3 linked regions of the Nothobranchius furzeri genome follow. The protein of the gene in region 1 interacts with the protein of each later gene in a pairwise test. Links are inferred from orthologs where the notes say so. Each region holds a gene or a part of one and is shown in the gene's direction. Other genes may lie near its edges. The genes, in order: lamtor5, git1 and tcap.

Evidence for each region.
Region 2: the proteins of lamtor5 (region 1) and git1 interact in a two-hybrid assay, tested with the Homo sapiens proteins (2 studies listed by BioGRID and IntAct). The link is inferred for Nothobranchius furzeri from reciprocal best matches to the Homo sapiens genes LAMTOR5 and GIT1.
Region 3: the proteins of lamtor5 (region 1) and tcap interact in binary tests that used the Homo sapiens proteins (3 or more experiments, as listed by UniProt). The link is inferred for Nothobranchius furzeri from reciprocal best matches to the Homo sapiens genes LAMTOR5 and TCAP.

The regions. Positions count from the first base shown.
Region 1 is NC_091755.1:27,982,179-27,986,483, forward strand, and holds the start of lamtor5 (ragulator complex protein LAMTOR5), read left to right. Parts: upstream 1-1,419; 5' UTR 1,420-1,526; coding exon 1,527-1,561; intron 1,562-1,641; coding exon 1,642-1,703; intron 1,704-3,243; coding exon 3,244-3,361; intron 3,362-4,305. UniProt on the Homo sapiens protein: As part of the Ragulator complex it is involved in amino acid sensing and activation of mTORC1, a signaling complex promoting cell growth in response to growth factors, energy levels, and amino acids.
Region 2 is NC_091753.1:16,485,185-16,489,565, reverse strand, and holds the start of git1 (ARF GTPase-activating protein GIT1), read left to right. Parts: upstream 1-1,470; 5' UTR 1,471-1,724; coding exon 1,725-1,776; intron 1,777-4,381. UniProt on the Homo sapiens protein: GTPase-activating protein for ADP ribosylation factor family members, including ARF1.
Region 3 is NC_091745.1:14,198,681-14,201,969, reverse strand, and holds tcap (telethonin), read left to right. Parts: upstream 1-1,273; 5' UTR 1,274-1,496; coding exon 1,497-1,645; intron 1,646-1,755; coding exon 1,756-2,146; 3' UTR 2,147-2,647; downstream 2,648-3,289. UniProt on the Homo sapiens protein: Muscle assembly regulating factor. Mediates the antiparallel assembly of titin (TTN) molecules at the sarcomeric Z-disk.

The DNA.
Region 1 (4,305 bases):
AGCTTCACAGCAACAGAGTTGTGCAAAAATACAGTAACGTAAAAACATGTAAAATATAAAAATGGCTAATCCAAATATACAAATGAATAAAGTAAACAATAAGATAAGAGATATAAAATATATAGAGGCTGGTATGTGCAAAACAGTGGCATTAATGTACAGTATGGAATGTGTAATGTTGGAGTTTCAGTAGTGAGGGTGAGGTGTCTGTGAAGTGTTCAGCAGTCTGATGGCCTGATGGAAAAAGCTGTCTCTCAGTCTGCTGGTTCTGGACCGGATGCTGCAGAACCTCCTTCCTGATGGAAGTAGTCTGAACAGTTTATGGCTGGGGTGACTTGAGTCCTTGATGATCCTCCCCGTTTTCCTCAGGCACCGCTTCTTATAGATGTCCTGGAGGGAGGGAAGCTCACCTCCAATAATCCTTTCTGCACACCGCACTACTCTCTGGAGAGCTTTGCGGTTGTAAGCGGTGCTGTTGCCATACCAGGTGGAGATGCATCCAGTGAGGATGCTCTCAATGGCACAGCAATAGAAGGTCCTGAGGATACGGTGGCTCATGCCAAATCTTTTCAGTCTTCTGAGAAAGAAGAGGCGCTGCTGTGCCTTCTTCACTGTATTTTCCGTGTGCACTGACCACGTAAGATCCTCTGCCAGGTGAACTCCAAGGAAACGGAAACTGCTCACCCTCTCCACAGCGTCGCCGTTGATGGTGATGGGGGGGTGTATTCCTCTGCTTCCTCTGCTCCTCCGGAAGTCCACTATCATCTCCTTTGTCTTTGTGACGTTGAGGGTGAGACTGTTGTCCTGACACCAGTGGGTCAGGGCGCTGATCTCCTCCCTGTAGGCCGTCTCATCGTGATTGGTGATGAGACCTATCACTGTGGTGTCGTTCGCATACTTCACAATGATGTTGGAGTTTCTCGTGGCCGTGCAGTCGTAGGTGTAGAGTGAGTACAGGAGAGGGCTCAGCACACACCCCTGCGGTGCACCAGTGTTCAGTGTGACGGGGGATGAGGTGGTGCCGCCCATAACATTATTATTATTATTATTATTATTGGAAAATTTAATAAAACTTGAAGGAAAATGCTAATTCTTTCTATCTATCTATCTATCTATCTATCTATCTATCTATCTATCTATCTATCTATCAATCTATCAATCTATCTATCTATCTATCTATCTATCATCTATCTATCTATCTATCTATCTATCTATCTATCTATCTATCTATCTATCTATCTATCTATCTATCTATCTATCTATCTATCTATCTATCTATCTATCTATCTATCTATCTATCAATCATCTATCTATCTATCTATGCCTATTTTGTTTATGTAATGTAAATGGAAAGATTTTGCGTTCTCTCTCTCTCTCTCTCTCTCTCTCTCTCTCTCTTTCTCTTTCGCGTCACACTTTTTGGTCCTCGTTGTGACTCGTAGCGCACGTGACGGTCAGCTGACTCTAACCGGAAACGTCGATGAAACTGTAAACAATTAAACCTTCTCTCTTTTCGTTTGTTAACGATGGAGTCGACTCTTGAACAGCATCTCGATGACACGTACGTTAAAAATCTCACTCTAACTGCTGACGTACTTCACTTTTTGTTTCATTAAAGCCTTTCTCCTTGTTTTTTTGTAGCATGAAGAATCCAGCAGTTGTCGGTGTGCTCTGCACAGATCACCAAGGACACAACCTGGGCTGTAAGATTAATTTAAAAAAGATTTACAGCAAAATGTATGAAACATATTCGGTTTAGTTAGCTTTTACAAGGCTACGTCAGTGTCGTGTTCTTTTTTTTTTGAATAATGAAATAACTTAGTTGCAGCAAAAGCTATTAATGTAACACACAAATAATATTATTTCCTTCAGTTTAGCTATTTTCATCTGTAAAGGTTGAAATACATACTACAGTATAGTTGAAGTTACTGTGAATCATACATTTCAACCATTAAAATCTCAACTTATTTCACATGCCAGAAAATCTTCACAGTGTTTGCACTGTTAGCATAATGAGATTAGCATTTCTGATGGAATGAGCTCTTCTGGCTGTTTAACAGGTCAACAGGAAGCTGCTGTAATTAAATTTAATCACAAAGGCTAATGAGGTATAATTAAAATTAAAATGTAATGTTTTTATAATTCTCTAAACACAACCAATCCAAAATGATGCTTATAATTGTTTATTGTTGATTATTACTCATAAACTAATAAATACTAAATGCTTAATAACCACGCAGTTAGTTAGTGAGGTCATTTATGAACATTATTCACATACAACAATTACTGTCATTGGGAAAGTGAATACTCCGTGGAATTGATTCTGTGTTACTTGTTTGGCTTCCATGGTTTAGTTTGAACTTTGATCTCTTCTACAATTCATCAAACTTCAGGGAGATGAACATGCTCTAAATTTTACTTAGGCTGTGAATTCAGAACATATCCAGTCCATTTTCATCAGCTGTGCAATGAAACACAAAGCAGAACAACTGATGATAATATAAAGTAATTATTTTACTTCCCAGAGGACTCCTGCAGCAGCTGACAGGTATCATGTGGTCTGAAGAATCACAGCTTGACGGTTGCTGGAGCATAGAACTTGCTGGAGGGGCTGTCTGCCCTCTAGCTGTCTTGATGGAGATGGAGAGTCACTGAGATCAGAGAAATCTGAGCTTCGCTCCTGGACCTGTTAGCAACCCAGACTTTGATAATTGGAAGAAAAATGATGGATATATCAGTATATATATTTTTTCTGTTCGGTTTAATTAATATTTATAACAGAGGCATCCAGCAAAGTCTAAGCTCTTTGTTAGCGTCCTCATACTTTTATTATCTTTTTAGGTCTTGTTGAAAGTTATTTTGAAAAGGTTATGATGTAACTGTTGGAAGTGGGTAAACATGAGTATTGTTTTGTGTAGTCAGTAGCAATGTTTCCCTGGTACATGGACAAACCTAAATGAAATAGTCAAAAGATGCAGAAGACAGAAACCAAACAATGAGTTCAACATGATTCAGATCCTCGAGAGACCCCAGAATTCAGAAATCCTCAGTCTGGACTAAATAACAGCAGTGGGACAGAAATGTTTGTAATATGTTAACAATCCTTCATAAGGAGGTCATTGTTGTATACAGGTTTGGAATTAACACAAATCACAGAAAATGACTGTTTGAAAGATGCACTGATTTCCTTTTTTTAAGACATTTAAATAATTCATTGCGTGTTTCTTTTCTTTTTTCTTTTAGGTCGTGGCTCCTTGTCTGATGAACATGGTGGTGTTGTGTCTGTTTTGTCCAAACAAGCTATGGCGCTCACCAGAGACCCAACAGTCACCCCGACCGTGTGCCTGGAGTCTGAGTCAGGGTGAGAGCACTGACCGGGTTTTAGCTTGACTTGTAATTCTTTTTAAAAATCTATCTCGGGGTATTTAAGATGTACCTTTGGGGGTTCTGATTAATGTGTACGGAGATCAATTACTCTAAAAAAAGCTTTTTGAGAGAGATCAGAACCAGAGACTCAGGGTTCTGAATCTGATCCAGTGGTTCACTGTCTCCCAGCAGCTATTAGCATCCGGGTCCGAGCCTTCATCGCGGTTGCTAAAACCAGTACGCTTATCTGGTTCCTCCAGTTTCTATTTACTTACCAAAGGCAATGCCATTTGTGACTTTGAACTGAACATGCTCGGTTCTTGGCATTAGATTCCAGAATGTTGTTCATTTCTTTCCCAAAAGGCAGCTGAGATATTTTCTTGAGACTCCAAGCCCTTTTTAATTTCCCCTAATAACCTCGTAGACATTTAAATAACCCCATCATCATTAAAAACGGGTCCAAAGTTGAACTACAGAATAAAAAATTAAAAAGCCAATGTCCTCTTTAGTGGACGGAGGCTCCATGGAGGATGGAGAGGGAGGAAGTCAACCAACTGTGGGATTTTATTTATGTCGTTGTGCTGCCATCTTCTGGTAAATGAACATCTCGTCTTTCAGAACATTTTACCAACCCAATGACAGCTCCTGAATATTTATTTATTTAAAATTACTGCTGCGAACTTTCAATCTCAGATATAATTTGTTATCTCAAAAGTCTAAATAACATAAATACAAATACAAACGGTTTTGAGTCCGATTCAAGGCTTATTTTAGCTTTTACATCAGTTATATTCAAACAGTATTTTTAGGTTGTGATTGATCATCTCCACAGCCAGAACTCAGTGTTCCATGAACCACTGGGCCATCGGGACCCCAACTTTTGGAACCACTGCTTTAATTATGTTTGAAACCATAAAACCAGAATTTGTGAATAATTTT
Region 2 (4,381 bases), on another chromosome or scaffold:
GTTTTGGTTAGTAATTGGAAGAATAACAAATGACTGAATTAAATAGTGGAGCGCCTCTGTCAGTGTGCCCCAGGGCAGCTGTGGCTACATCATAGCTCATCACCATCAGTGTGTGAATGGATGAATGATACACTGTAGTGTAAAGCACTTTGGAGTCCTTACTCTGAGAGGCGCTATACAAGTGCGGATCATTTATCATTTATAGTGTTGATCAGGCAGAGCTGTGTTGCCAGCGTTCCACTGCATAATGGCTTCAGACGCGTATACAATAGTTTTTACGTAAACCATTGGAGGAAATTACACAAACTGAGCTCTAGTTAAGGTGCTTGCAATAGTGTGTGTGTGTGTGTGCGCGCGCGCATGTGTTTGGGGGAGGGTATATTGGAACATCCCCCCCCCCCCCCAGTTTGAAAATCCTATCTGTGCCCCTGTATATACACAATTTAAAAAGTAAAAGGCTTGTTATACAAAAATATAACTTCACCTCCTGTGGAGTAAGTCTGTTCCATTTTAATCGTTTTCTTTGACCAAGGAAGAACAGTGTCCTCAAAAGAAAGGCGCCAGGCCTAGCAAGGCAATGACTTGGTGCCTTAATATTGAAAAACACACAGTGATTTTTTTTTTCCCCTTCAAAAGTCTAATTTAGGTTTGGGGCTTTTCAGAAAACATCCGGGGCTTGAGCCCAAGTGGCCACCTCCTAACCCCGCTTCTGCATTACCGTAAAGTGGAATTATGTATTTATTTAAAATGAAATTTTAGACACTTATTTTGAAAGTTTCAGAAGTAAAAAGGAAATTTAAGTAAAGCTAATCTGATGCAACTTTTTACTCTAAAGAGATACTAATACGACTCACCGGGCCGTTTCCGCTCACAAGCATGTTCGTGCGGAGTTGACTTCCTGCTAAGCTAATCCGTTTCTCCGCCTCAGCACCGCGAGTTTGTTTGGTTTATGAACAAACAGCTGCAGGTGCTCGTGCATTCGTGTATGGCAATCCGATTGGATCGAAATCCGTTCACTTTTGAGCAGGTTTTGTTGTAAAACGGCGTTCAAATCTCCGTTTTTAAACTTCCAACGCCGAAAAACCAGTTGAAAATCCCTTCAGAACGTCGTCTTCGTGAAGTTTTCAGAGCACCGTAAAAACGACGTATTTTCTCGTCTCTGAACACCGCACAGAGGCACTCTGAACACATCCTCCAGCCAACGGTAGAGCTGCAGTCTCCCTGTGACGTTAACGTGTGTGTCCCGTAGGTTCCAGGAGCGGAATAAACGACTCACACCGGAGCTGCGTTTCACCTGAGCTTTTTGCTGCGCAGTGCGCACCGAACTACGAACGATCTGTTTGCAGCCGAAGCTTCGGCTCATGTTTCAAATACACCAAAACAGAAGAGTTATGCTCCCTCATAGCGCTGGGCTCCCTGAGGTCAAGGTTTCTTACTTCCTGTTTAATCTTTTCACAATAAAAGCACAAATTCATAAATACAGGCAATAAAACAACACACAGCGTTCCCTATATTAAGGATTAACGATGTTCGGAAGAACCAGTTCTCTCTGAGCCAGGCTGGGCTGTGGGGTGGGGGGAGATCCAGCAATCAACCGGCTGGGAAAGCTGACCACGACACCCGGCTTCCGGAGACTATAGGACCGCAGCGGCTGGAGGGCAGACATCCGTCTCTGGTTTTCACATCGGCGCAGACTTCAGCTGACTGTTGCGGCCACTTCCGATATGTCAAGAAAGCTTCAAAGGACAGAAGTGTGCGCTGATTGCAGTGCTCCAGGTAGGCAGCGGGGTAAATAAAAACGGAACAATGCCAGGGGAGGGCTAACGGGGCCGGGGATGCTGCCACTGTGGGCTTTCAGAGCAGGAAACGGCCGGGAGTGTCGTCAACTAGGCCCCAGACAAACCGTGAAAAATAGCTGAACGCCGCTACACCGCGGTTAAAAGCCCTGTACCTGTTTATAAGGACGATAACACACATCTGTAGCAGGTTACTGGTGGTGGCTAATAGAGTTTGCCTTTGTTGTTAGCTTAGCTTAAGCTGCTAGCCACTCCAGCCAAGCTGATCCGGAGTTTGAGATTAAAGTCGTGTCGTGAAAATTGAGACGTGATAAAAGTTTGCATGAGTGTCGCAGCAGTGTCCCTTAGGCAAGGGGACCAGTAAAACAACTCTGACCCCCGAGTGGTTTGGTTATCATGAGTCAGCGTCATCCGGATGAGGTTTTGTCACTTTTAGGAGCATCATTACGGTTCTTCAGCCTAACTGGTCCCTGTTGCATCAGAAGGTCTGATCACTCCAACTCCTGTTTATGTGGCATCAGCAAAGCTTCTCTTTCCAGACCAGCAGCAGGTTTCTGACTGGAGCTGACAGAAGACAGCACATCACTCCCGTTCTGATCAGGATTAACTGCAAAGTCCTACTGCTTGCAATCAAATGTTTGAAGTCAGGTCCCTCCCTATCTAAGTGAACTCCTCCATTTCTACCACCCCTCTGGTGCTCTTAGGTCTGCAGATAAACTCCTCCTCACCATCCCTAAGGCATGTTTGAGGGCTTTTTGTATCTGTGCCTCGAAACTTTGGAGTTCCCCACCCCTTCCTGTTAAGCCGGGCGTACACTGTGCGACTTTGTCACTTTTTTGAGCCGATTTTCCACTCGTGCGAGAATCCACGACATCGGGGCGAGTTTTGCGCCGAGCGTCGTGTAGTGTACAGGGGGTTACGAGAGGCGATTAAGGCCTAGTCCACACGTAGCCGGGGTTTTTTAAAATCGAATATCCTCCCCTCCAAAAACTCGCATCCACACCACTGCATTTTAAAAACAAACTCTGTCCACACGTACCCGGATAAATACTTTGTTAAGGACATGCCAGACCTGTAGGCGGCAGTACTTCCCCCGTTCTTAACCTCGTCCTTCGTCTGTGGTCTTCTGCAAGGAGGTGTAATTCTGCTTGCAAAAACAAACAAGTAAAAAGCGCTTGGACAATTGATGGATCGGGTAGTGACAGAGCGCAGCTCTGAGGGCATCCATGCTGTCGGCTAGTGTAAACACAGGTCGCACACGTGATGTCAGCATTTTTTGTCGCGGAAAGTGACGTTGCGGACCTTAAAACTCCGGTTTTGTCCGTCCACACGCAGACACCCACAACGGAGAAAACGCAGATCTTCACTTTGGCCGGAGTTTTTAAAAAGATCAGTTTTCGTGTGAAAAAGCTCCGTTTTCGTGTGGATGACAGGCCAAAACGCAGAAAAATATCTACGTTTTGGCAGATCCCCGGCTACGTGTGGACAGGGCCTAACACCACGTGACCAGCTGCCGATCAGCAGTCGTGAGGTCGCACGGACTTCTGGCGTGTTTAAAATTTTGCTCGTCCCTCGTGAGGGTATGGCACTGTTGAAGCGGAGCTGCGAGCAGCTGCAACCCAAAAAGTATCAGAACCGCTCACGGCGCATGCGCAATCCTGCATCAACGCCGCTTGCTCGCTATTTCCCTAATAACACGCTGTTCGCTTTTATTTCTACACGTTTTTTTACTCACAAAGATTGTCAAGAAAGCGTGTTTGTCGTGTTCATGTCAAATTAAGCTGATCACAAAACACAGATTTACTTTCTTTTAGGGCAGGGTGATACGCCCAAAAAATAAAATCTCCGATTTTATTTTCTTTAATTCGATTTCCGATTTTTTCCGATTACACCCCCCCCCCCCCCCCCCCCCAAGAAAAGGACACCAACAAGTACAAACAGCAGACCACTTGAAGCTACTTTTGCTTTTATTTAATCAAAAGCAAAACGTGTAATGCTCTTCAGGGATGAATGGCGAATAACTGAAAACCCTCTTGGAATCAAAGTGCCAGGTGTGTTTTGAGTCATACTCTGTTGTCTAGAGTGAAATGTGACAAACATTCCCATTAGAGTAACACCATTTTCTCAAACATTAACAATACATTCAAATACAGGTAAAACTAAACCAACCCAAACAGTGCGACAACTAACAGGGATAAATGCATCATACTTTTCAATCCAAAAACAGAGAAAAAAAATTATCTGTCTTTAACTTGCATTTACGGTAAAAGATTTACTTTGCATATAATTTTAAATAAAAACATAAGTGCAAAACTTCTTTCTTGGGTAAAATACTAATTTAAACAAAAATTAAGAGTACAAAAATTGCAAAATAAACAATATTCAACTCCAACTGAAAAGTGCCAACTTTTGTTAAAAAAATAACTTTAACAAACGATTTGTGTCCCTGAATGTAGAAACAGGAGAGAAAAATCACATTTTGATTGAGCTGCTGAACATGAGATCTGTGCTTAAGTTTGGGTCAATAACATTTATATATTTTTGGCAAGGAAAATCAGCCTGTCCACTGCCTCTGGCTTGAGGCA
Region 3 (3,289 bases), on another chromosome or scaffold:
ACACAGGACAAACAACCATACACACACACACACTCACACCTAAGGAAATTTTGGAGAAACCAATCAACTTGACATTCATGCTTTTGGACTGTGGGAGGAAGTCGGAGAACCTGGAGAGAACCCACGGGGAGAACATGCAAACTCCATGCAGAAGGACCCCAGGCCAGGGGTCCTTCTGCATGACCTTCTTGCTGCTAGGCAACAGTGCCAACCACTGCGCCACTGCAGCCGTTTATTTAATATTTTATTTTATCAAAACATGTTAAATGATTTATAAGATATTTAGCTAAAAACGCACAAGCAAAAACATCATTATCCGCGTTCCTCCTTTTGACAGTGAGCAGGACGTAAACAGGAAGTCTCTTTAAATGACAAAAACATGTCACGCTGATTTTCTGACCTAAACAGATGACCTTTGGGATGCCAGCGGCTGCTTTACACCTTTTTTCTCACCGTGGCAGCATTCCTGTCATGTTGTGTCAACTAGCTGATAAGTTGCTAAGAAACAGGTGAAAACGTTTTTGCACTTGGCACGAAAATAACACTAAACCGCCATCTCGAATGGTAAAGACATGGAAAGATGATAAAAAGAGATGAGAATAAGTCCCACAATGAGAGGAAAGAAAGCGTGAGGTTTGTAAGAAGTCTAGATGATTGGTGTTCCTGCCTAACTGGTCGTTTAGATGCCTTATTATTATGCTGTGTGTGTGATAAGTGATATCTGTGTTGTGATGATGATTTCAGTGCCCCATGTGGGTGAATGAGTCAGAGACAGGGACTGGTAGTAACATAACACCAACACATAACTGGCAGAGGTGAGTGTGTCTGTGTGTGTGTGTGTGTGTGTGTGTGTGTGTGTGTGTGTGTGTGTGTGTGTGTGTGTGTGTGTGTGTGTGTGTGTGTGTGTGTGTGTGTGTGTGTGTGTGTGTGTGTGTGTGTTTCGGTCAGTAACCCAAGTTGCTAACAGCTTGAGTGGTGCTCTGTCACTGAGGTAATGAATCACACGCTTTGGAGCTTTGAAAGACGTCCAGCGGAGGGGCTGGTGTTGTCATGAGGCCCGGTTGTTTTTTAACGATAAAAAATGATGATTATATCATCTGAAATGTCCTTATAAAGCGGCTGCTGTCCCGTTTCACAGCTGAACATACAAGTTTATCATACCTCTATTCATAGCGCCGATTGTTCTGTCCCCTCTGCGACCGCCGCTGAAGTGGGCTGAGTGCTTTCAGAAGCCAGGGGGATTTTCTGGCCAACCACCCTTCAACTCATCCTCAGTTTGGATTCCAGCTGTCCGGGAATGAACCGCGGAGTAGTCGGTGTCAGATGTCAGTACACACTGGAAGCAGAATGACAACGTGAATCAGAAATAGTCACGGGGCGTCTATAAAAGCTGTGGACAGATCGCTGTGCCACTCAAACACTCTGAAGAGAGAGTCTAGACGTCTCAGAGAGAGAACCAGCTTTCAGGAACCCAAGATCCCCAGACAGTAGAAAACATGCCATTCTGCAGCATACTGGAGAAGAGTAACGGCATGGTGGTGGGAGCAGAGCTGGCCTGCAGCATCCGGGAGGAAAACACGGCTAAGAGGGAGAGCTACAGTGCTGACTGGCACAGCGTTGATCTGAAAACTCAACCTCAGGACAGGTGAGACACCACATGCTCCATCTACTCAGTGGTTTGTACTGAGATTCCTCTTGTTTTAACCTTGGAGTGTTATTAAGTCTCTAAGTTGAACTGTCGTCTGATGCCCACAGACAAACCATGAGCATGAAGGACGACTCCCGTAGAGAGACCCTCTCCCGGCAGTGGCAGTACCGCTCTCTGATCCAGACCTGCCCCTCTGGTGTCTTCAGGGTGGGCACTGTGGAAAGAGGGATGAAGGAGCACCAGTTGCTGCCAAAGAGACACACCCTCCCCCTGCCCATCTTTACCCCAACAGAGCTGGGTGTCAGGCTGGGACGTGGTGCCCCGCACACAGAGCACGACCTGCAGCCCTTCCCCACACGAGATGGGGTCTGCCCCAGCAAGAGGAGTGTGGACGAGATCACCAGAGACCTCCCCCCCATCAAACCGGTCCTCATGGAGTTCACTAAAGCCCCCAGAGCTCTGGGTCGCTCCATGTCACAGGAAGCCCAAAGAGGCTGAACGGAAAAGATAGAGGCGGAAAAAGAAGAGAATATGTTAGCTTGTTTGATCCACTTGTGAATGTGATGCTAGCACTAGTGCACTTTTATTGTGAAAAGTGCAAGTTTAACAGAACGATGGCGATGCAAGTTATCAGAAAGAAGGTTGAAAGTGTTTGAAGGGCAAGAAGGGATGGATGGAGTGGTATGGTGATGAAACGTGATGTTTGGGTTGGTCACCTCCCAGGAGCTTCTGCCAGTTCTGTATGGAGAGAACAGAATGCACTGGCACCATCACACACTGCTGCTGTTCCTGAGTGAGTGTGTGTGTGTAGACTGGTACCTGTTTTCGTCTCGCTTCATTAACTCATTCTTCCTGTTAGCTGAGTGGCAGCTGCTGTCTGATCCTGACAGCAGACACAAGTTTGGCTGAGATCATGAACAACTTTTTAATGTGTGAAATGATGATATTTGTTTATTGGAAATGAAATATTTTTGCTAATAAAACTTTAAGTACTCATAATTTCCTTGTCTTCAGACTTGTTTCTGTGATATTCTTGAAAAACCCTAAATTAGGTTTTACGTAGAGAAAAACAAAATGACTACAACGAAGATGAATGAATCACCCATCTTAAAGTATCTGAGCAGCTCCCTGTTAAGTCCCACTTTAGTCTGATGTGGAGCTGACGTGCTGGCGCTGCAGTCCGCTTCCAGCATGTCTTCTGCATGGTTTAGATCATGAACACAGCTGATTTGTTTAATTCAGTGATGAATCCCTCCTGATGAAGGCTGGGGAGACAATTAGCAGTTAGATTAAGGTGTTAAAAAGACGAACGTACAGCAAGAAGAGGAGATTCACTTTTGCTTTCACTAACAGACACTAGGGGGCGATAAAGGCAAGCCAAAACTGCCTACTATCCCTTTAAAAGATCAATTTCTGGTATTTTTTCAATAATGTCTAAAGCATCAAAAGTAATTGAGTGAAGTGACAACAAACAAAAACAAACTTTATTCTAAACTCCTTTGTACGTTCAATCTGTCTTTTTTAACACAGTTTATTAAAAGTAACAAAGTAATGAAAAACAACTTTGTGAGAGAACAGTTTACACAGGAAAAACATTATATTTTTAACTAATACTAATAACTATAATAATTTTTATTAATT